4 linked regions of the Arabidopsis thaliana genome follow. The protein of the gene in region 4 interacts with the protein of the main gene of each other region in a pairwise test. Each region holds a gene or a part of one and is shown on either strand. Other genes may lie near its edges.

Evidence for each region.
Region 1: the proteins of AT3G09250 (region 4) and AGL8 interact in a two-hybrid assay, tested with the Arabidopsis thaliana proteins (one large-scale study listed by BioGRID).
Region 2: the proteins of AT3G09250 (region 4) and AT2G45920 interact in a two-hybrid assay, tested with the Arabidopsis thaliana proteins (one large-scale study listed by BioGRID).
Region 3: the proteins of AT3G09250 (region 4) and ADG1 interact in a two-hybrid assay, tested with the Arabidopsis thaliana proteins (one large-scale study listed by BioGRID).

What each region holds. Positions count from the first base shown.
Region 1 is NC_003076.8:24,501,510-24,508,822, forward strand, and holds AGL8 (AGAMOUS-like 8), read right to left. Parts: upstream 4,761-7,313; 5' UTR 4,505-4,760; coding exon 4,320-4,504; intron 3,808-4,319; exon of another isoform or gene 3,792-3,807; intron 3,427-3,791; coding exon 3,348-3,426; intron 3,263-3,347; coding exon 3,198-3,262; intron 2,778-3,197; coding exon 2,678-2,777; intron 2,539-2,677; coding exon 2,497-2,538; intron 2,329-2,496; coding exon 2,287-2,328; intron 1,579-2,286; coding exon 1,475-1,578; intron 1,339-1,474; coding exon 1,227-1,338; 3' UTR 925-1,226; downstream 1-924. UniProt on the Arabidopsis thaliana protein: Probable transcription factor that promotes early floral meristem identity in synergy with APETALA1 and CAULIFLOWER. Is required subsequently for the transition of an inflorescence meristem into a floral meristem.
Region 2 is NC_003071.7:18,896,027-18,902,291, forward strand, and holds AT2G45920 (U-box domain-containing protein), read left to right. Parts: upstream 1-2,602; 5' UTR 2,603-3,336; coding exon 3,337-3,558; intron 3,559-3,636; coding exon 3,637-3,758; intron 3,759-3,857; coding exon 3,858-3,962; intron 3,963-4,133; coding exon 4,134-4,365; intron 4,366-4,464; coding exon 4,465-4,788; coding exon of another isoform or gene 4,789-4,873; coding exon 4,874-5,071; 3' UTR 5,072-5,277; downstream 5,278-6,265. Other genes in the region: AT2G45910 (U-box domain-containing protein kinase family protein), read left to right, coding at 37-171, 379-903, 1,087-1,833, 2,001-2,186; AT2G45930 (uncharacterized protein), read right to left, coding at 5,919-6,265. UniProt on the Arabidopsis thaliana protein: Functions as an E3 ubiquitin ligase.
Region 3 is NC_003076.8:19,568,321-19,574,139, reverse strand, and holds ADG1 (ADP glucose pyrophosphorylase 1), read right to left. Parts: upstream 3,903-5,819; 5' UTR 3,815-3,902; coding exon 3,551-3,814; intron 3,452-3,550; coding exon 2,885-3,451; intron 2,806-2,884; coding exon 2,626-2,805; intron 2,467-2,625; coding exon 2,363-2,466; intron 2,290-2,362; coding exon 2,178-2,289; intron 2,099-2,177; coding exon 2,000-2,098; intron 1,913-1,999; coding exon 1,793-1,912; intron 1,700-1,792; coding exon 1,583-1,699; 3' UTR 1,336-1,582; downstream 1-1,335. Other genes in the region: AT5G48290 (Heavy metal transport/detoxification superfamily protein), read right to left, coding at 4,482-5,081, 5,155-5,160. UniProt on the Arabidopsis thaliana protein: This protein plays a role in synthesis of starch. It catalyzes the synthesis of the activated glycosyl donor, ADP-glucose from Glc-1-P and ATP.
Region 4 is NC_003074.8:2,836,688-2,841,779, forward strand, and holds AT3G09250 (Nuclear transport factor 2 (NTF2) family protein), read left to right. Parts: upstream 1-2,312; 5' UTR 2,313-2,392; coding exon of another isoform or gene 2,393-2,425; intron 2,426-2,566; exon of another isoform or gene 2,567-2,791; coding exon of another isoform or gene 2,792-2,800; coding exon 2,801-2,939; intron 2,940-3,053; coding exon 3,054-3,567; coding exon of another isoform or gene 3,568-3,607; exon of another isoform or gene 3,608-3,668; coding exon 3,669-3,731; exon of another isoform or gene 3,732-3,873; coding exon 3,874-3,898; 3' UTR 3,899-3,927; downstream 3,928-5,092. Other genes in the region: BSK9 (kinase with tetratricopeptide repeat domain-containing protein), read right to left, coding at 31-116, 202-307, 369-502, 608-743, 1,012-1,232, 1,332-1,413; PYK10 (Glycosyl hydrolase superfamily protein), read right to left, coding at 3,970-4,177, 4,259-4,367, 4,457-4,559, 4,642-4,676, 4,787-5,004.

The sequences.
Region 1 (7,313 bases), on a different chromosome or scaffold from region 4:
ATGTAGAGATTAAATCTGCGTATATGTGTAAATATAAAGACTTTTTAGTTCTAACTCTCTGAGTCAATGACTCAATGGACCAGGTTTTGAAAAGCCAACAGAGACTTTTAAGGGTAGGAACAAATAGACTACATTGTGGTTGTGTGTGTTTTGTCTTTAGATATTTCTGATTGTAAACGTAAAAGATGGATTATCAAACAAGAAAGTAAATCCATTCTGCTAGAACTTGAGATTACATGCGAGTGTGTGTGTGTTTGTTTGTGTGTGTGTGTGTGTTTGCATAATGTAGATTTGTTCGTTACTATTGAACGTAGGAAAGGGGTTGAGAAGACTTAGACATTTCTTGTTCTTTCTCTTAGTCAATGAACCAGATTTTGAAAGAGTCAAAAGTCTCTTCTCCTCCATACAATATTACTTAAGTCGTGAACATGTGTTCTAAAGTCTTTTAAGGGTAGGAACAAAGTGTGGTTGTATCTATATTGTGATAGGACATTCCTGAATTGTATACGTAATAGCTTTGTATTCCTTGTGTTTGGATTTTGAATAGTAAAAGAACAATTTTGCTCATTGACATTTTTGGATGATAATACATCATATTCAGTTGTTAATTATTTTTGGATTATATACCATCATAGAATCACATACTTTGTTTTCTCACTGAATATTTTATAAATTTTTAAAACACATGCATATACCATATTCAGTTGTTTATAAAAAAAATATAGAATCACTTTTAGAATATTTTTGAATATTTTGAACAATTATCGTATTTATACAAACCTTTTTCCATTTTTCAAAAATCAAATAATCATTTGTGCCATGCGGTACCTTGCTGCGACAACTTTAAAGCGCAAATAATGAGCACATTTACAAGAAGACTAAATTTGAGCAATTTTGAATATCAGTCATAAAAAACATAGTGATCGCATTTACAAATGATAGAATATTGATATATTGCGTTCACCACAGTTTAAAAAGTAAAAGTTACATTAATTATTCATGAGAAATCATTACCAAGATATGAATCTTTGTTCTTAAGACGCAGTGAATCTAATGATAGCTTACGTACATACGTCTCGACAACGGAGTTCCATCATACATATAATATGACTAGCTAAAACATATCGGTATTAATAATGAGTATAAGTCACCAAAAAAATGCTGAATGTTATGAAAATATTAAACATTAATTATATTATCATTATATTATAAAGAGTGAGATAGTTCTACTCGTTCGTAGTGGTAGGACGTAACATCCAAGCCGGAAGCAGAGAGTTTGGTTCCGTCAACGACGATGCACCACCGTTCTCTCCCCCAACTCTCTCCACAAAGCCATCTCTGCCCATAAAATTAAATTAATCAGAATCATTCATAGATATACATGTACAAATTTGAATTATATATATGCACATGGCACAATTAATCAACCTCTTAATCTAATTTGGACTAGTACTGAGAGAGAGAAAGACGAGACCTGGAGGAGGTTACGCAGTATTGAGGCAGAAGAACTGAAGAAGAGTTGGAGCATTGGACTAATTGTCCTTCTTGCTGACCCGTTTTCTTCTCCCTCTCCTTAATCTAAAATTATTGTTTTGCCATTAGTTAGTAATAATATATACCAGCATAAATCTACAGTTGCAAAAATTCTATAAATAAAATATCTGAGTTGTCAGAAACAAATTATACAAATATTAGAAAACATTACCACTTTGAGTCTTACGAAGAATTTATATCAACTTCATATATATACAGATCAAGAACTAAGGTAAACTAAAATCGATCTAAACATTTTTTTTTCTTTTGATATATGTATAACTAGTTTACGTCTAGATAGCTGCATGATCTCAACATTGATTTTTATTAGAAGGGTTATCAATAGAGGATTAAATAATGACCATTTTTTGGGATTAGATAATGACCATTTCTAATGCTAAAAAAACTAAAAACCATTTCTAATTTTTTTTATCTTACATCTACTTAAATTCTTCACTCAGATATTATGGAAACATTATTAATATAAATATATATTTGGTCTCCATTATATATTAGTACCGGTTTTTTGCTATTATATTTTGTTTATGTAATAGGATTAATTACAAAAATTAGAGAATTATATATGTAGTAAAGTCACATATTTTTTAAATACTTTTATAATATATAAAACATTGTTAAACCTAATCTTTTTAAAAAATTATGGTGAGATGACATACTGTAGTTAATTATTTCAACTTCTATCAATTTTAAACTCATATATAACCACTTATATCAAAAATAAGTTGTACTTACCTTTTTGAGAAGCGAATTGTTGTGATCTTGCAAGGCTTTATCCTGATGATTTAAAAGAAACAAGTAGAATTATGCCTCAAAATGATTTTTTTACGATGTACCTAATTGTGATTTGATATTGGTTGCAAACATAGTTATATATATATATGAAAACAATACTTTTCGGTTGTTATATATATTATCTATCTAAACAAAAAGTTGAAACTTTACCTTCTTCTGGAGCGCAGATATGGATTCGAACATAGCTTGGTTCTGCGAACATCAGACATTAGTTAATTAATAACATCTCAAATTTAAAATTCTGAATTCTTTGCCAAACTCAACTTCTCGATCGAAAGCTTTACATACATATGTAGACGTATGTAACTATGTATCCATGTTGTCCTATTACCTTTCTTGACCTAATGCTCTTGATAGCTGCATCGAGCTGATGCTCCAAGCTTTGGAGCTCCTTCAAGCTCAACGAATCAAGATCTTCCCCCATAAAATTCCTACACATTTTCGTATTTTGTGACTACTGCTTATATAAGCAAACCGTGGTTGTTGCTAAGGTAGAAACCATTGATATGCCTTAGTTTTTATGATCAAATTGACAACAGAAAATGAACTTTATGAGGATCCAAGACACAATTCCCCCATAACCGTATAGTGTCATAAACTTATATGAGCAATAACGAAGTCACGATCAATACACATTCATTCCCTCTTAAGTAAAGGAAAAAAGTTGAATACATTAGAAGTTTGTATGTGCGACCCAAAAGTTTAGTTAACTTGGGACAAATACTCTTGTAAATATATGTTTTACTTGGCTATTTGATTAGCACGATCTTAATTTGACATTGTGCACATATATAAATTTGAAATATATATGTGCGATCATTTGTAAATTTGAAATTATAACATATATATACCTTTTGTTCTTCTCAAGTACCTCAACTCTTGCCTTGAGCTTAGCATGTTCTAGAACCCAATTTTCCTACAACATTGGTGTATGATAAACATTAGTTACTACAACAAAAATACAACATTAAGTAGCTAAAAGAGACATATCTAAAACTTACACTTTGTGAAACGTCTCGGCCAACAAGTTGTTTGTCTGAATATAAATAGCGATCATAGCGTTCAAGTATCCTCTCCATGCTAGATTTAAGAAAGAAAAAAAAGGTCAACACTCGATTAATTTGATCCATAAAAATTATTATAATTTCACATGTTATAATGTGTAACATTTGTTACAAACTGCAAGCCAAAAGTTTACCGTATTTGGTATACCGACAAAGAATAGCTAAAAATAAGAATATAACACAAAAATGTATATAGAACCTGGTTTTGGTGAGTCCACAAAACATCATAGAAAACATACGTACAAATTCAATTTAAAGATTCGAGTTTCCCTCCTGACTCGGTTATCAAAGCAAACGATCACTATAAATCTCTATGATCGTACATAAAAACATATATATACACTTTCACAAAACGCATTTAAAATATCAGTACGAACTTACATATATGTTTAACGTTATGTTATTGTCCATTGGGGATTATAGCACATCCTTGTTATAAATGCTTTATTTCATCGTTTCAAATCAACCTTTCTTTCAAATATATGGTATACTCAAGTATTATTATACATGTTATCTACATACATATCTTCGTACGTGTCTGAGTGCACGTGCTTCCATACATCAAAAGGGGCAATCAAATCGTGAGTGTGTGTACTAAGTTTCATAATTTTATGCTATTTTCAATTGGGTAAAGGAAAGGAAATTTAGAAATAAACATAAACAGCTTTTTCATGCGTCCGTACGTAAAATCCCAAAAAAAAACCCTAATTTCTCGAGCCAGTTCTTAGGGAACAAACAAATCTAGAGAAGATATGAAAGACCAAGATACGAGATTTGGATTTATTTCCAAGGCTGACGACGATCGAGATCGAGAAGTACGAATAAAAAACAAAATCTGGTTAAAGATCAAGAAAACAGATAGATATGATCGATGTGATATATAATATAAAACATTAAAAAAACATTTACCAAGAGTCGGTGGAATATTCGAAGAGTTTGCCTTTGGAAGAGAAGACGATGAGAGCAACCTCAGCATCGCAGAGAACAGAGATCTCATGAGCTTTCTTGAGCAAACCAGACCTTCTCTTTGAGAAAGTAACTTGCCTATTGATCTTGTTCTCTATCCTCTTCAGCTGAACCCTACCTCTTCCCATATCTCTCTCTCTTCAAAATCTCAAGAACAAGAGAGAGAAACGACAACCCTGAAATGACCAAAGTATCTCTCTCTCTCTTTCTTTCTTATGTCTCTCTGGGTATCTTTTGTGTTGATGAATGTGATAATAGCTATTTTATTTTTTTTATTTTTTCTTTTATGGACTTTTGTTGGGTTTCGCGTGAGTCTACAGTGACGTAAGTGATGTGGTATAAATACGGTATGTGACGTGAATACATAGACGATGATATTTGTGGAAAAAAAAGAAAGAAAAAAAAAACACAAAAGCTACATACGAGTGGAAGAAGAGACCAGAGTGGAGATAAAGTTTTAAGGGCTGTTTGGGAAATAAACCATTTGATGTGTTGTCGAGTCCTCATTGGCTACTTTTTACTGTGCTTGTAACTCGTTCGTTAGTTTTGTGCCTCCCTTTAGCTTACATTGTTTCCGTACCGTACGGACTTTTGTTATTGTTTTTAAGGTTAAGAAATCAGACCAAAGAACTCAATAGATATTAAAGGAGAATAATCTTTAACTCCTTAATACTTTCTACAGTAACACTATAACGACTATATATAGGGTTTAAATATTCTTTCAAAATGCAAATTGTATTTTGGTTTTTTAATTTTTCTTTTTGCATGGAGACAAGTTTTTTTCTGGTTAAATGCACGGAGAAATTTTAATTTTATTTAAGGTGACTTTCTGTTTTTCCTTTAAACAGGGAGAAACATTGTGCTTACAATTTCAAAGATATATATATTAGATAAAATTAAATATAGTGTGTTTTAATAAGTACACGAAAGAATTTGACCCAATTGTAATAAAACCTTAGGAAAAATAGTAATTTTATAATTGCAAACACAAAAATAACACGGAACATTTTACAATATTTTATCCTGCTAAATTGGAAGGAAAAAAACTAAAATGATGTCCTTTTCTTCAATTTCAAGTTAAGTATCGATCTTCTCTTTGCTCTGGAAATTGATGAACCTACAAAGTGGAAGCTAGGCTGAAATTTAGCTGCTGAACCAACAAAACTCTTAACATCAAATGAAGCATGTTCTATAGATCGTGGCGTTGATCTTTTTGGACCAACCAATATGCAAAATGCATATATTGTTGTAAAAAAAATGCCTATATTCCATAACTTATTCACTTGATATACTATAATTTTTCTTTTGACCGGGAAAAAGTGGCCTATTTATGGGAAGAGAATCTCAAACGTATGATACTCTCAATGTAGGAAAAGTCTCTAGACTACCATTTTCTTTTACTCCTTTAGACCCATTGGATTTGGGTAGATGGATTTATTAAATACAATGTAAGGAGTTTTTAAATGAAATATAAAGATACTTTAATGATTAACTGGTAACTGGTAAATTGGTAATGTACTACTATTGTAGTCAATGTAAGAAAATAGTTACGAAAATAAAACCTTTTCTGTCAATTAATAACTCACTACTATAATTTTTGTAGGATTAACACATCACACTAAGCTATTTTATGACTAAATAAGTAAATATAATTTCTTCCGAAGGTTCAACTTTTTGAGTGGTTATTGAATAGGGAACGTGTTCCGATAAGAAGTTAACAAAACAACATTCATGTCGGTCCCATGACTATTATATGTCTGACTCTGTGTGATATCGATATATACATAACATATATTGGTCTGAAAAGTGGAAAATCTATTTTAAGATTTGGTAACTGATCAATGAATTGATAACTGATAGTCTGATACCAAACATAAACTAGTTTTGTACACTAACAAAATAAGAATGAAATATCAAATTTTGTAAGAATTGGTAACTGATATAATGAATCATCGTAACTGATTATTTTCTTTTACCTTCCGACGTAAATTTGTTTATGTTGCTCTTAATTATGTTCGTACCTTAATTGATCATAAACACATAAATTTTAGTGATTCCTTATGTCGAGTTGTCAATGGTTTGGAAGATTGGTAGCTCCTGACATTTCATCGGAATTTCTTCTCTCCAACAGCTCAAATTCTGATCGACAAGTTCGATGGGTTACTCCAAATTTGGTTCCGGTGCCAGTTCTCCCAACTACTGTTACGGTTACTGTTTCTATCAGAACTGCGTGACTGTGGCCTGATTTTTTCATTAGGCTGAACTAACTTAGTCTAGACTGACACAATATATATGTCTTAGGAATGTACTTTCTGCTAAACAAATACAGATGATGTAAAAAAATAAAATTTTATAATTAATTGGACTATACTTTAATAACTCAGAATAGATATTAATTCGAAGCTTGTGTTGGAAATTTGGGATTTAAGGTAGAAATTTTCTATAGTAAGCTATTCTTGGTAGGGTACAACTTATAAGTGAAGGGGAAGAAATATATTATATAAAAAAATTTTAAAAAGAGAATATATAATTCTACGAGCATATATATATGAGGGTGTTCGGTTAGCAATTTTTTAGCATAGACAAACACTCGTCCGACTAAAATGTATGTAAAGGTACTATAGACTATATAGTATATACCAAAATTGGACCACATGAACAAAAAGAAATGGACCACATTTGTGTGTTGATGAGCCCTAAACATCTAAATGGATGGATAGTACCTAAACGTATTTAATTTCTCTGAATCGTTATTAACATAAATTTGGTTCTCTCCTTAGTACGATAAATGTTTGCCCTCTTAGATCAAAACTTTGGATCTTTTTTTCTGCTCATACCTTATGTTAAGTCCACATCTCAAGACCGCATGTATTATATCGCACGTTGTCTTGTCAAACTTATATACCAATATATAGTGGACATAAACCTCATATTTTC
Region 2 (6,265 bases), on a different chromosome or scaffold from region 4:
ATCTCAGCTGTCCAGGAAATTTGTCCATCATTGCAGGATGGGGTGGATGATTCTTTTAACGTTAAAATCCGAAAAGCCACGTCAGAGGCTCACAGTTCAAAACAAGAAGCTTTTGCAGAGACTCTTAGGCGTCAGAAAGCCGAAAAAAACGCACTTGATGCAATCAGAAGGGTGAGTTTCCTTACAAAAATAATTTAGTTGGCACTGTTAAAACTTTTTTGGAAATGATTGCTAGATGTTCTAGCTGGAGATATATACTATACTGGAACCGCTAGTGTATCACTTGGAGAGATCCCTAGGCTTAATAGTGGTGCTTCTAGTTACACCAATAACAGCTAAAATATTATAGTATACTGATATTATAGGTAATTATTATAGGCTAAACAATCAGAAAGTGCCTATTCTGAGGAATTGAAGCGAAGGAAAGATACGGAGATAGCAGTAGCGAAAGAGAAAGAGAGATTTATAACAATAAAAAACGAGCAAGAGGTGATCATGGAAGAACTTCAAAGTGCAATGGCTCAGAAAGCGATGCTTGAGAGCCAGATAGCAAAATCTGATGGTACAATGGAAAAGCTAAACCAGAAGCTTGATATAGCTGTGAAGTTGTTGCAAAAGTTGAGGGATGAACGAGAGGAGTTGCAGACAGAACGTGACAGAGCACTCAGAGAAGCTGAGGAGTTAAGGAGTCACGCAGAAACCTCAACCCTACAGTTGCCTCAGTACTTCACGGATTTCTCATTCTCCGAGATTGAGGAAGCAACTAATCACTTTGATTCGACCCTGAAGATTGGGGAAGGTGGATATGGAAGCATCTACGTTGGTTTACTGCGTCATACTCAGGTGGCTATAAAAATGTTGAATCCTAACAGTTCGCAAGGCCCTGTAGAATATCAACAGGAGGTATTTTCTTGACATATTATTAGTGAAATTTCTTGTTTAGTTTCATCATCATTGTTTACTGGTTTATTGTGCACAAACTGCTGCCTCTACGAAAAAGGGGACTTTGAAACACAGTTCTACTGTAGTTTTGATTTTATAGTGTTCGCTGTGGAGGAGCTTTGACTTATTCTTGCGGCATTGCAGGTTGATGTCCTAAGTAAAATGAGGCATCCAAATATCATTACGCTAATTGGAGCATGTCCAGAGGGGTGGAGTCTTGTCTATGAGTATCTTCCGGGTGGAAGCCTTGAAGACAGGCTTACTTGCAAAGACAACTCTCCACCCTTGTCGTGGCAAAATCGTGTGCGCATTGCCACTGAGATATGTGCAGCACTTGTCTTTCTTCATTCTAATAAAGCTCATAGCTTAGTACATGGTGATTTGAAGCCGGCAAATATCCTACTCGATTCCAATCTCGTTAGCAAGTTAAGTGACTTTGGGACCTGCTCACTACTTCATCCTAACGGAAGCAAAAGTGTGAGAACTGACGTTACAGGCACAGTTGCCTATTTGGATCCAGAAGCTTCCAGTAGTGGAGAGCTAACTCCTAAGTCAGATGTTTACTCGTTTGGGATTATCTTATTGCGCTTGTTGACCGGGAGACCTGCCTTACGGATATCAAATGAAGTGAAATATGCCCTCGATAATGGAACATTGAACGACCTCTTGGACCCTTTAGCAGGGGACTGGCCCTTTGTTCAGGCTGAGCAGCTTGCTCGCTTAGCATTGAGATGCTGCGAGACTGTCAGCGAGAATCGTCCAGATCTTGGAACTGAAGTGTGGAGGGTACTTGAACCTATGAGGGCTTCTAGTGGAGGATCTTCATCTTTCCATCTTGGCCGTAACGAGCACCGGATAGCCCCTCCATACTTCATTTGCCCCATTTTCCAGGTAACTAATCTGTATATTTGAGTATGGATTTCCAGTATTATTATCAATCTGAGAAGACTTCGATCACAAAGTCATTAAAATTTGCTTATCTGAGGTCTCAAACCGTTATGTTGCAGTCTAATGGTACTCAACCCGTTCTTCCTCTGCTTTGTTTTCAAATATTTCAGGAAGTCATGCAGGATCCACACGTGGCTGCAGACGGTTTCACATACGAAGCAGAGGCTATAAGAGCGTGGCTGGACAGTGAGCATGATACTTCACCAATGACCAATGTCAAGCTTTCTCACACCAGCCTAATAGCTAACCATGCTCTTCGTTCTGCGATTCAAGAGTGGCTTCAACATCATTTGTGAAAATAAAATCCTTCAAACCCTCAATCCCTGTTCTCTTATGAAAAAACGTTTTTGCCTTTTCTGCGGGAGGCAACAGAGTAAGTGAGTAAGATTAGTGTTTTCAGTCTTCCTTATACATATACATACGATCTAATCATGGATAGCAGCATATTTGTTTACTTTTTCAAGCATAGTGTAAGTCCTCCATATCAGTCATATATGAAAAGAAGAAGCTGGTGAGATTTGTATGTGGATATGTATATATATATATATATATATATATATATATATATGTTCTGTATGAAAAAAAAAGTTATATGCTTATTCGGTTTGTGTGAGAAGAACTGCCACTATTTTGTTCTTCCATTATGTTCGGCTCTCTTAAGAACAAAGATTAGCCTCTAATTATTGGACATGATCTCACTGATGATGCCTTTGCTTAGCTAAAATTAGGATGAGTCTTACATTTTTAGTCAAGACTATCGTGTAAGACTTGTTTTCCACCTGGAAGAAGTTACCTTGGATTGCCTATAGTGATTTTTAATGAACTCTTAAAATTCTTGTGATTAATCTTACTTAATTAGCAGTGGGGTCAGGTCGTTTTGGCGGCTAGTGGCATAACTGTATAAAAATTCAGGATTGCACTGAGGTAAGCCAACCTAACGCAGCCTTTAAAGACACCAACCTGGAAAATGCTGAGAGTATTCTTCAGGATTTTCTCAAAAGTCTTGTGAAATTCGTGTATTTGTGTCAATATGTCGACATTTCTCTTCATACACAGATACTGTCGCTTTTGATTCCTGGTTTGGCTTGTTGAAAGTCAAAAAGCCTTCATTATTTTAATACATGATTCAGCTTCTGCGTTAAGGCTAGGTTTCGTCATTGGTACCGTGGTTGACTTCGTGTGCATGTTATAACATAAGAAAATGTTCTTGCTTGTTGATTGCTCCCTCTGTTAGATAAGTCATCTCTTTTCTCGTATTGCAAATTTTAAGTTTGTTCTTGTTTATTCTCTTGAGTGAATTAGAGGTATGTTTTGAGTGTTCTCATATGGAGTGTGTTGGAGATAGGAGCTTCGATCCAAGCAAAGGGGAAAAGTGTTGGCTTCATGAGGCTTCGATGCAGCCTTAAACGCTAAAATCCAGGCCAAGCAAGATGGAGATAGAGAGAGATGATGGGCAAATCAGGTTCGCAGCAGCTGCTGATGGATGAGAAGATATATGTTGCAGTGGGGAGTGACTTGGGGAACAAGTCCACTCTTGTTTGGGCGATACAGAACACTGGAGGCAAGGAGTTCTGTATCGTCCACGTTCACCAGCCACTCTACAGAAAAGAAAAGGAAAAGACACAAAAGATCCTGGACAAATACCTACAAAAATGCAGGCAAATGCAGGTATGTTTTTGTTACTTCTATTGCGAATAAGTGATTTGATGATACAAGAGATAAAGAGAGCCGATTGTGATATTCTAGGTCTGTGCTGAGATGATACACATTAAAATGGAGTCGGTAGAGAAAGGGATCATCCAATTGATCTCAGAGCGCAATGTCAAGAAGCTCGTCATGGGAGCTGCGTCAGACACACGCTATTCAATGTACAAAGCACACCGGCATAACTAAATAGTTTTGGATTTTCATCTTCTCATAGTTCTTGTTATTTCACCGATGGACTCATCATTAATCTTAATTTGTAGGAGGATGGCAGATCTGTTGTCCACGAAAGCCATTTACATTCGTCAAGAAGCGCCTGCTACTTGTTGTATATGGTTTACTTGCAAAGGATACCTGGTATATAAAAGGTCTACCCCTAGTCCCTGTAATCTCTGTACAACTGTAAATACTACTTCAGAAGTTTTTTTTAAAATGATATTTGTGTTTTGTCACACTCTTGTGAGTTTTAACAGGAACTGAGATTGTGAGAACAATCACATGTCACAAGCTCTAATATATCTGGTGATGGTATAATGCAGGGAATCTATCATGGGCAACACCTCTCTAGAGTATGCATCTACAAGTTCTGGTCAAGATTCAGTCCGTTCACGAGGATCTGTTATACCTTCGCGCCAATTCACGATATCTAGAGGAAATGGAAATGTGTATCAGTTAGCTGTCTTTGAAGCTGAGAAATCGAAAAAAGAAGCAAGCTTGGAGGCTTTCAAGCATCAAGAAGTTGTAAAAGAGAAAAATGAAGCAATCAAAAGGGTAACATCTTCTTGGAATCTCACATAAGCTATTGCCATTGCCCATTGGGAATGTTGTCCTTTTTTCCTGATGATAACGAAGTTTTCTGACCAAATGTAGGGTAAAGAATGGGAAAGTGCCTATTTGGAGGAGTTGAAACAAAGGAAAGAAACAGAGATGGAGCTGAAGAAAGTGAGAGAAAAACTCGAAAAGATGAGGTATATATCTGAGAACCGAATAACCGAGTCTTATATGTTGGTACAAAAGCTGCAAGACAAGTATAACTTGGCAACGAAAGTGTTGAGAAAAGCCAAGGAAGAACGAGATTTATTGATTAAAGGACGCGACATAGCAATTATAGAAGTAGAGGAGCTAAGAAAAGAGGTCTCTCGATCTGATGAGCACCGTGAAGCTCCTCAGTACTTCATCTGTCCCATTTCACTGGTAAATAAAAAAGTCAATATGGAGAGAAACAGAAGATTGTATCGAATCAGTTCACAAATTAAAACCTTTGTTTTCAATGTTTCAGGAAGTGATGAAGGATCCACAACTAGCAGCAGATGGATTTACATATGAAGCAGAAGCCATAAGTACATGGCTTCAGGGAGGACATGAGACTTCCCCAATGACAAACACGAAGCTTCATCATACAAAGTTAGTTCCAAATCTTGCTCTTCGATCTGCAATCCAGGAATGGCTTCACGCTTCATCCTCTTTTAGAAAGTGAACAGAAATAAAATCACACTAAATATATATTCTTAAGCATTTGCTTCAACGAACACGTCTACTTGTACTTTATATTAAACCCATGTAATGAAAAACCTTTTCTTCATTTTTCTCTCCATTTTCTATTTATTTTCTTAGTAATACAATCTGACCATATGTATTACGTTGAAAACAGCCAATTAACGAAATAAAATATGAAAAGATACTAAATCCCATTTGTTAATTGACTTTATCTTCAGTGTGTGAGACGTAACTGCTTGTGAACTTCTTCTTTTCTCATCTTGTGTCAGTGTGTGGCTTGTGAACATGTCTTCATTAGTTTCTTTCGAGTTTACATAACACAAAGTGAAACAAGAAACTGGATTCTATATTGGATCCACCAACTAAAATACAAGAAGAGAATAACTAATGAAGTTTGCATAGTAACTAGAGAGGCATTGGAGGGATCCAGTAAGGGAAGAGTGGTGTTGTGGAGAAGGCTGAGGGAGACTTGGGACGAAAGGAACGTGGTTTTCTAGTGGCGATATCGTAAACACCAAAGCCATCGCCTGCAAAATAGATGGAGTTAGGGTTTAAGCCAGGGAATGAGCTTGCCTTGACACAGAAGGGCTCACTTCTGCCGAGGAATATGCAGAGATCTCCAATGTCCTCAGTGTAACACATGTTCATATCTTCCTCCTCTCTAAAGACCATGAAATGCTTTGTTCCACGACACAAGAATGTCATCCTCTCGCCCGGTTTGTAGTTCTGAGCGTACCACTTGACTAGGAAACGCTGTCCTGAGGGAGACTCAACGAGGTGTACAGTCGGCGGGGAACATGAGTCCAAGAGCTCCCACTCGGACTGTGTCACCTCAGGAAGGTTGCAAAACCGCAACTCAAATCCTCGAAGCAAGAATCCCAGAAACCCAACAAATGGCCTCCAACACTAGGAGTGTAGAACTTTTTATCTCTCTTTGAATACATAACCTTTGACTGATCAAAAAAGTGGGATTCGGTTTTAAAGCCTAAACCCGAGTAGTTGTCAGTTTTGCCACAAGGCCTAAAGAAATGGATCTCAAGTCCTAAACAATTGGCAGCCACTACAAAATCTTTACTTTGATCTGGTGAACAAGTCATTGCAGCGTTAGTGATGAGGCGTAATTGAGTAATATTAGGTTTACCCATGGGATACATGGGATGCAAAGGAATGATTT
Region 3 (5,819 bases), on a different chromosome or scaffold from region 4:
CAGAAGTATAATTCTTTAAGGAGCTAAAGCAGAAGTATAATTCTTTAAAAACATATTTCTACTCCATTTTAAATCACTTGCTGGTTATTGTTGATACAATATGTTCTGGTTGTTGTTCATATCTGAATGCATGTAAGCATTTAAATGAATTTTTTTTTACGTATTGGTCATTATTCATAACCGAATCCAAACCTTGACTGGGCTTAATGCTTCTGATGATATAAAAGAGTACATGGACGAATCAGAAAATTTTTTATCTAGCAAAGAAAATATGAGAGGATCTTAACATCTTTTTGAACTGTGTTTTTCTCAACTTTATTAACGTTGTAACAATGTGGTATGTCATGGGGGTCAACTTGGAAATTTTGTACCAAAACATCTAATAATCATTGTAGTTAACCTTATATGTAATAAATAAATAAAAAACTAATGTTAGGGGGGTCAAATCTCAAATAAAATTGCCTTTTGTTACAAGTCTCCATGAGGTGATACTTTCATGTATGTTTGTCAAGGAAGGTCTTGAAAACCCTGGTGGTTCTTCCCATCTTTCTCTCAGGAATTTTACTCTCTAAGAGTTTTGAAGAAATATGTTGAAAAGTAGAGAAAATGATGAATTCAATTTGAACTTTAAAACAAGGTGAAAAGGAAATTGAAATAAAGGAGTCATGATTATCATAGAGGAATCAAAGCTCAGAGAGTGATCAGAGAAGAAGACGTCAAACTCATATATCACCGTAGAACATTCTTCAAAAAAATCTTCCCAAACTGAGAGTAATCTCTGATGTCAACCGACTCACTAAAATCAGACTCAATCTTAGGAGGAGGAGTTGGAAAAAGACTCTTCTGGATCTTTTCAGCTCCCTCCAAGCTCAATGCATCTCAACTATCACTCAAACGAAAACTTGCCATTTTTTGAATGATTCCAAAAAGTAGTTGTTTTATGAATAGAAATGCCAATCATTGGCATAAATAAACCACACAAGCCGTTCTTTATGGCCCTTTTAAAATATTGGTGGTCTTGTCTAGAGTGCACTTTACTTTCTTTCTTTTTATCATTTGGATGCAAACATTTCTCTAATGTGTGTTATTCATGTATATTAATATTTTTTTTAACATGTATTCTTTTGTAAAATCACATTTAATTATAATACTTTGTAGGTTTATAAATTAACTTTAACAGAAAAAAAAAACTAACATTTGTTAGTTTTTTCGAAAAAGATATATATATATATATATATATATATATATATATATATATATATATATGTATCTATTTAAAATTAATTTTATAGTTTTAACATCTTTAAAACGAATAATGTTGAACTACTTATTATTATAATAAACTTGAAGAAACTTAATTTTATTGATAATAAGCTACAAAAGATAAATTTAGTGAAATTCATAGGGTCTTCTTTTTTCTCAAAAGAGACAATGGTATTGTGAAAACATGATTTCGTAATCTCTTTCGTAAGCAGCATTACAACTAGTAGTAGATTTATTGGGGCTTAAAAAGCCATAAAGAAAACTTATTGATAGGGCATTAGAAAGATGAAGAAATAAACAAAGGAGCATTATGTGTACTTCAGATGACAGTGCCGGTTGGGATTAAGGCGTCTTTGATAACCGTTACAATTCCGCTCTTTATGAAATATCCATCAGTCTCTCTCGCTGCCTCTTGCACGTTGTCGCTGTTTATGATCTGTGCCAAGGTCCACAACAAACACATTTTAAGAGCAGAGCAAGTATGAACAAAGCTAAACATCCTGTGTGTGTTCCAAATATAAACACTAACCTTGACATTGTCACCGATACGTGCGTTTTTGTCGATGATGGCCCTTTTGATGTGCGAGTTTTTCCCAATACCTATGGGTACACTTCCTTTCGCGCTTAAGAGGCTCTTTTCCGTAGCAGTCTAGGCAAACAATCATCAAAGAAGACCACCATCATCAAAAGGTTGACATTACTTAGCAAGAAGATTGATTGCAAGACAGATTTTTACCTCGTAATAATCAGCTCCCATTAATAACGAATCTTCAATAATAGCACCTTCTGATATGCAGGAACGGAGTCCAACCACAGAGTGATGAATTTTGCAGTTCTGTGCCCAAAATTCATAAGACATTGGTGAATTCGTATGTCCGTAAAGCATATATCGAACAGAAGCGATTTGATTGTACCTTGATAACACAGCCCTCTCCGATGACACTGTCAGTAACATCAGCATCAAGCATCTTAGACGGTGGTAAATAACGCGGCTGTGTGTAGATCGGAGCAGAACGGTCATAGAAACTGCATCAAGAATTCAGATAAGTTAAGTAATCATTCAGATACAATAGAGAGTGTAGTAATGCGGTTACTGTACCTAAAATCAGGAACTGGTTTCTTGGTGATTCCAAGATTAGCGTTATAAAATGCCTCTATAGTACCAATGTCTTCCCAGTAACCATCATATAGGTAAGCTTGCACCTGCAGTGCCCATGATCAAAGTTAGCAGGTTTTGCCTTCTGCATAGCATAATCAGCTACAAGAAGCTGTTGAATCCGAAAGCAAACCATAGAGTAACAGAGACTTGCTTGAGCATCAGAATACAAACTAGATGTTGTAAACATGAATATAAACACTCACCCTCAGTCCAAGGGAAGTGGCACCGGGAATGACTTCACTTCCAAAGTCATTAGCTCCAGGAAACTGATTCCGTAGTAAGTCTAGCATTACATCTCTGCTTACAACATAAATACCCATACTAGCAATGAAAGGCATCTCCTTGGCTCTCTGATCATCAAGACCTAGAATTGTTGTGTCAACCTAGGAGCAAAGAAATCGAGATTTTTTAATTTACAAGGCCGCATGATGAAGCAGAGAAGTAGCGTAAAGTTTATAGTACCTTCATGGCCTTTAGGTGCTCCCCTTTTGGTTTTTCAGCAAATTCAATAATACGTCCTTCCTCATCAATCTTCATCAGCCCAAAAGCAGTGGCTCGTTGCTCGTCCATTGGTAATGCAGCTACTGTGATATCAGCATCAGTCTCCCTATGTGCTTGAATAAACTTCTCATAGTCCATTCTATACAAATGATCCCCAGCAAGAATGAGATACTCCAAGACATTATGCTCCTCGAACAACCACAAGTATTGCCTGACGGCATCAGCTGTCCCCTGGAACCAGTTGGGGTTTTCAGGACTCTGTTGAGCAGCGAGAACTTCAACGAATCCTTCATTCTTATAACCTCCCATGTTACTAGCATAAGCTCGTGAAAGATGACGATTCAAAGACGCGGAATTGAACTGAGTAAGAACATAGATCTTGGATATGTTGCTATTCAAACAGTTGCTCACAGGAATATCAATAAGCCTATAGTTAGCACCAAGAGGCACAGCTGGTTTCGCTCTCTTCTTCGTAAGTGGATAAAGACGAGTTCCAGCTCCACCTCCTAAGATTATCCCCAAAACACTCTGCAAATTGACAACAATTAACAGTTCCAATTTGATCTCAACTACATTCCTCAAAGCTTAAACAACAAAGATAAGAAGAAGAAGATAGATGATGCTTACGCTGCTAGCATCAGGATCGAGACAAGTTTGAGAGTTTTGAGAATCTGAGACGGCTTTGGGAGAGACGATGATCGGATTCCTGCGAACAACAGATTTACAAAGACGGGAGACGGTGGATTTGAGTGAAATCTTGTCGTCGGATGAAGTAACAGAGGAGGAGAAAGAAAGAGTCCTCGTGGGAACCGCCTCCGTGGCTTTTCCGGTGGAATTGGAAGTCGAAGCAGGAGGTACCTTGAGAACTCCAATTGCAGATACAGACGCCATTGTAGTATTCGATCAAAGGAAGGCAAAATTGAGAGTTTTGGAGTGAGAGTTTTGTGGTTGTCTTGTGATTGTGGAAAAGCGAAAAAGATCTCTTTTTTATTTTCTTTCTTAATATGTGATGGGTTCTCGGGAACCGTTAGTTTTTTTCAGTTGAAATTACGTTAACACCCCTTTGAGTACGTTACGTTTACCGTTGCGGAGCAAGAGTAATGGGGGTGTTTTCGGAAATCTAGTGGTAATATTTTAATATTAAATTAGTAATATTTCACAGTATTCAAAATGCTGATTATTCTGGAGGAGTCAGAACATTATTGCACAATGACAAGTCAAGATATCATATTCAAAATTCCAAAGATTACGATTATACCTAAACTAAAATCCGAATAGTGAGTGAGAAGATTCTGGGCCAAGATTGGGTCGGGTCATTTGAACAGTGTGCAAAATCTTTCGAATAGTGAGTGATTTTGCTGTGCTCATACAAATATTTACTAGGAAATGCATAAAGATTAAAAGAGCATGTTGAGATAGCAGTAAATTGATTTGGTGGCCTCAGAGCTTTATTCATATGACTAAATAGTAAACATAGTGCTTCTTTAGTTCTTTACAATAAAAAAAAAAACATTGGTCATCATGCTCTCTCTATCAATCTTCCTCTGTAAAACTCATTTCACATGATTTTGCAATTGGGTTCGTGATTGTAAACGGGTTCCCCTATATCATTGTAGGGATGTGCCGGATGGCACGGGTATGGAAACGAGGAAGGTACACCGTCTCCCTGGGGAAAGGTGGAAGGCACACCGTATCCTTGATGAGGAAAGGAGGAAGGTACACCGTATCCCTGCAGAGGCCATGGATAACACGGCACAGGTTTTGGCTCCGGAGGTTCCTTGTCATCTGGCCCTTTCTTATCGCCACCTTTTTGGTCACCGCCTTTTCCCTCTGCACCCTTTCCGTCCCCTCCTTTCTTCTCGTCTTCTTTCTTTGGTGGTTCAACTTTGGTCACGCTCACAAGCTCTGCGAACGCTACCTTCTTTCTGAGTATTTGGATAAGAGGGATCATATCAACTTCAACGCCGGTTACCTCTATCTGGTTCCTGTGATCGCCTTTTATTTCCACGGCTGACACGCCTATAAAACCATTAGATCCAACAGAGTTTGGTAATCTTTTTTGTGGAAAGGTCTTCTTACCTTTAAACTGAACTGCTTTTGTCATTGCTTTTGCTCGGGTTTTGTCATCGGTCATAGTCACTCTTATCAAGATCTTTTGCTAAAAAAATGATATGTTGTAACGTCAATCAAAGAAGCCATAAAAACACATACATAAACCATATAATACTTACCTTCATCTTCTAGTTTTGCTTGAGAAATCGCTTTGAATGTTTTGGCTTAGATTTCTTGTTTGGTAGAATACAAAGTCTGAAGAAATTTGTTTTCTTTTGTTTCTTTTCTTCTCATCAATTAGTCATTGTCGATAGTTGTGATTTCGTTTTCAGTTTGTTATAAAGAAAAGCTAATAAAACCATAACTCTTCTTTCTTTAAAGCTAGTTGCTAATTCCTACAGTCTTATTCACAATTCTTTGTTTAAAGTATTTAAAATAAAAATAAAAAATTACTTTGTTAAAAGCATTTTTTTGTGTGGTTTTTGGTCAACGTCAGAAAAATAATACAGTACTTTACAAATAAATAATAAATAATAAAAGAAAATACAGTAAACAATTATTGGATATTTAGATGATTGACTTGCATTGCGTAAGCTAAGAGTTATGCAAGACAAAAAAAAAAAAATTTATAATCGAAGATACCAAACTAAAGTCCTGACTAAGACTAATCCTTATGTTATATAATACGTGGAATGTTGGAAACTTAGCACTTAAAACATTTACAACGACAAATTAGACAAACCTTTAACCCTTTAGCCAGTGAGCTAAGGGTGTTTTCACATATTTATTTAATTTATTAACTAATTTTGTATACTAGCTATCTTCTTCTTTCATTTGGGTCTAA
Region 4 (5,092 bases):
ACACATTTTGCTTTGTGAGAAGAAAGTTACATGGTTTGGTGGAATATGTCTGCCGCTCATAAGATCCAGTAACAAGGTTCCGAAGCTAAATGTGACACTCTCCGGTATCACAGTACCTAACAATAAAAGTAAAAGAAAAACATCTTTGAGATTTCAGCTGATGAAGTTTTCTCTCAAGAAAATTAAACATAAAACACATACCTAGACGTAAATATTCAGGAGGAGCAAATGCCAAGTTGGTACTATAGCTCTTTCCCTCTCGGCTACACTTCATGAGACCAAAACAAGACAGCCTAGGATTCCCAACCTGTTCCATCACTTTTATAAATAACTTATGATAACATCAAACCGCGTATGAAGTTTCTTACCTTGTCAAACAATATTCTGTAGGTGTTAAGATCGTGATACAAATCTATTCCCCAATCATTACAGTACTCCAAGGCTGTTGCAGTATGTAACGCAACTCTCAACCTCATTTCCCACTTCATTGGTCTTTTCTCCCCTGAAAAACCATTTTAGAGTAAAAACAACTTAGACACAATAATGAAACTCTAAAGTAAAGTTTAAGGCCAAAAGAGATCAAGAACTTGAAATGTTTGAGTCTCACAGTGAAAGAGATGCTTAGCAAGTGTTTCATTAGGCATGTACTCAGCAACAAGCAACCTCTCGTGACCTTCTGAGCAACAACCGATCAAATTGGCCATATGCTCACTCCTACATCTCCCTACAGCTTGTGCTTCCTCCTGAATAACAAATATGCCATATTCAAGAAATTTTCCTCTGCAACAGATCAAGCATAGAACCGAATTGAATCTTTACTAAGTCAAACAGACTTGAAATTTGCCTCCTCTGCAACAAATCAGAATCCAGAACATTGCAACATTCAAGAGAAGTATCACGGAGTTAGTAACCAATAAAGTCAAATCAGATGAATAAGCGATCACTAGTCAAATCTTATACAAAACCAAACAGAGAAGAATCAATAAGTATTGATGGGTAAAGGACACGAACGATGAATTCTAAAGAATCAGGCCATGAAAGCCGTTGAAACCGCTTGACGGCGATCTTTCTTCCGTCGTTGAGCTGGCCTTTGTAGACGATGTTAGGAACCCTCTCGTTGTGCTCCGACACGATGTTGTCGGCGGAGAATCCGTCAGTTGCGACTCTCAACTGTTCCAAGCTGAACTCCAGGAAATTAGGACAAGTACTTCCTTCATCTTCTTCTTTATTATCTGCAGCCAAAACTATTAGGTTAGTTCTCTCGATCATCGTCTTCTTCAGAATCTAATTAACGCATAGGAGGAGTGGCTGGCGAATTCGTTGGATTTTACCTAGATCGTCGATGACGGTGATGGTGGATGTTATCGACGGAGAAGACGATCGACGCCAACGTTTGAAACAAATGCAGCCCATCGCCGGCGACAGTAGTTTCTCCGGTGGAGAAAAACTTTTCAAGTGCTTGGTTAAAAACTCCCGCCTGCAGGGAGAAAATAAATTATTATTTTTTTCTTTTTTGCCTAGCGAATATTGTTGGAAAGTTTTACGGAGAAAGTGGTAAAATAGACCCAAAAATATCATTTATTTATATATCACATAATTAAATAGTTGATGACCAATATATACTTTTTTTTTTTTTGAAAAGATCAACCTTTATACTATTATAAGGATAAAATGTCGACATGATCTATGTATTAATTTAAAGAAAATATTGTTTGCTTGTTCCATTTAAATTACTCGGTATTAGATTAATTTTGAGCATAAACATTACAGGTTTTTATTTTGGTAAATAATCATTAGACTGTTGAGTTTGGTCTTTACTTTAGCCTCAATTTTAAAGTCTATATTCAATGGATTTTGCTTACATACATTTCATTCACGTTTAAACCGAAATTAAAATATCTCATTTAAGTTGTAACCAAAAAAAAAAAAAACAGAAAAATTCTCATTAAAATTAATTTTTGCTAGTTACCGCAGCTTTTCGAGACTGGGTGTGTAATATCCATCACACTAACCTTTTTTTTTTTAATCCATCCATACGTTTAACTACATTTAAGCAAATATCGCTATCAAATCGTTTTGGTATATTTCGCTCATTACTGGCAAAATTCACTCTACAAAAAAAGTCTAGTTTGTAATGGGACGCTCGTTTTTAGGTGACTTATATAAAAATAAATAAATAGATTAAAAAACAAATAAAATCAGTATAGGCCTAAATAAAAGTTAGCTTACGGACCATTTATGATGAAACTTGGGCCCTAATGCAAAGCCCATTAATTTTATCTTTGGAGTCTGAAGTCTCTCCTCTCTGTGCTTTCACATAATCACATTGCATGATTGATCAAATACTCGATTTTCCGTGAAATCTCTTTGAATATTTCGATTCCTTGTTACCATGGCGCTTCATGGGTCTGGAGTTTTTTGTAAAGTAAGCTATAATTCTTCTCTTTGAGATTTACTTCCTTGATTCTTCAGCTCTAATCTATACTTAAATGTTTATCATACGTTTCTCGTAAGTAATCTCGAAATTTAGTCGATTTTCAATAAGAGCCCATTGATATTGGATGATTTATGGTTCATATACAGAGTTCTAATCTTGTCTGGTGTGAGAATTCTTACGGATTAGTAGGTATTGTACTAAGATTAAACCCTAGAAGAAATTCGATCAGAAAGTGTTTGAATTTCAACACTGAGATGTTCAATATCCGAATTTGTTGCTACTCCACTTGATGCAAATGGTTATGTGATTCTATTGTTGTGCTAATATGGCCTTGAATCGTTTGCTCCCTGATAGGTTTCAAACATGGTAGAGATCACTTCTCCGTTTGGTGGTTCCATGAGGCTGCTTCACTTGCCTAAATCTTATCCGATTCACTGCAACATGGTTTCAGCTAGCAATACATTTGGGTCAGCTCATCTCAAGCTGCAAAACAAAGAACCGTGTGAGTCTACTTGATTTTAGTTCGAGCATCTTATCTAGTAGAAGATCTGGTTTTGGATAAGACCGGTTTCTTTAGACTTGGTTCTGATTAGTGTTCTGGTAACATTTGAAGCAGGCTCCCGTTTAAGGCCTTGTCGAGTCAAACGCGAAGAAAATAACCAAACTGCGGATGTTGAAAGCATTTCAATGGATGAGAACACGTTGAAGCAAGATCTCGAGACTGCGGTCCAGGAAGAGAATTATGTGGAGGCAGCTAAAATCCGTGATAAACTAAAAGAGCTTCAAGAAGACAACAAAGCCTCTGTTTTATCAGCCAATTCTCGGTTCTACCAATCTTTCAGAAACGGGGATTTAGCTGCGATGCAATCACTATGGTCAAAATCAGGAAACCCGTGCTGTGTACATCCAGGGGCCAAAGGCATAACTGGTTATGATTACGTGATGGAAAGCTGGGAGCTTGTGTGGATGAACTATGAGTTTCCGTTACTGATTGAGCTGAAAGATGTCGAGGTTCATGTCCGAGGAGAAGTAGGTTATGTAACGTGTATGGAGTTTGTGAAGACGAAAGGGAGTAGTAGTTGGGGAGCTCAGTTTGTGTCGAATGTGTTTGAACGGATCGATGGACAATGGTTTATATGCATTCACCATGCTTCTCCTGTTGATATTTGATCAAAGAATCGAAGAAACGATACACATTTTCAAAACGTTTTATTTTTATATGCGTTTGGAGGTTGCGGTGGGATACATTGGTGGTTTGCTTAAGGGTGATGAAGGACTGTTTTTTATTTCTGAGGTTGGCGATTGGGAATGAAAACGCCACACAAACGAGAAGAGGCATAAGTTGTGACGTTTGTACTAGAAGAGGCACAAAGGATCATTTTATTATAACCAGAGCCTTGTAGATCTGGCAAATCATGTAGACAATGAAAAATGAGAAGAAAAATAAACTCTTTTTATTAGAACCAAGACCTCATGAATCTTGGTCACTCACAAAGTAAAACATAGGAAAAACACATTGAAACAGAAATAGCTTAAAGCTCATCCTTCTTGAGCGCGGATGGACGAACACCTTGACTGAGGAAATCCTTGTAATACTTGCCGGATTCTTTCTCGTAACGTGTGAGGTTATTTTTGAAATCAACGTAGTAGAGTCCAAATCTGTTTTTGTAACCATCTTGCCACTCGAAGTTATCCAACAATGACCATACAAAGTATCCTGTAACATTCACTTTGTCGATGCTGCAGATATTACACAAATGTTTTTATTAGATTCTTCACTACAATTGTTAGTATATCAGATGAAAAGGAAATAGGACATACCAAACAGCTTCTTGCATACTCAAAAGATGCCTCTGAAGATAATATTTCCTGTTATGATCAGCGGTACCAACAGCAACAGAATCTGAGGCCCCTAGTTCTTCTCCATATCCTAAAGAAGAACATCAACATCAATATATTTAGTTCTAAGATAAAATCAACCAAATAATAGTTGACAGTAACAATAGAATCTCTAGTTACCGTTTTCCATGATCATAATTTCCGGATTTGCGTATTTGTCCTTAATGTACTTCAACAGACTTCTAAAACCTCTCGAGTAAACGTTCAATGCAGCGGTCAAAGGCTGAAAATAAAACAGAGGTGAGAATGTTGCATCATAGACAAATGTAGCACATAAAAATTTCAGATTGCTATTAAATTTATACCTTGCTACCAATGGCGTAATTTTGCGCATTCTTAGCTGAAAAGAAGAGATAGGTTTCGATTAGTACCAAAAACAAACATTTTCCCTTTGATTTGTTGCCATTGGTTTTCTTGGTTCGGTTTCAAGTAAGGGCAAAACAAACTTACACTCCCATGTAATAAGAGAATCTTGCATCCATCTTGGTTTTGAAGGATCAGGTTTCTCCAAATGGTTTGAAAACACTGAAGTATAGTAGTTGAGCCCAACGAAATCGGTAGAAGCTTTCAGTTTTGCTTTCTGCTCAGTTGTAAATTTAGGCAATCTATGTCCAACAATGTCTTTCATGATCTGTGGATAATCTCCAAATGTAGTTGTGTCTAGATGCCTACAAAAACCATCAAAATATCGTCATATAAAATTTCAAGATATTTAGTATAGTACTAATTAATTAGGGATGTTATAACTTATACTTA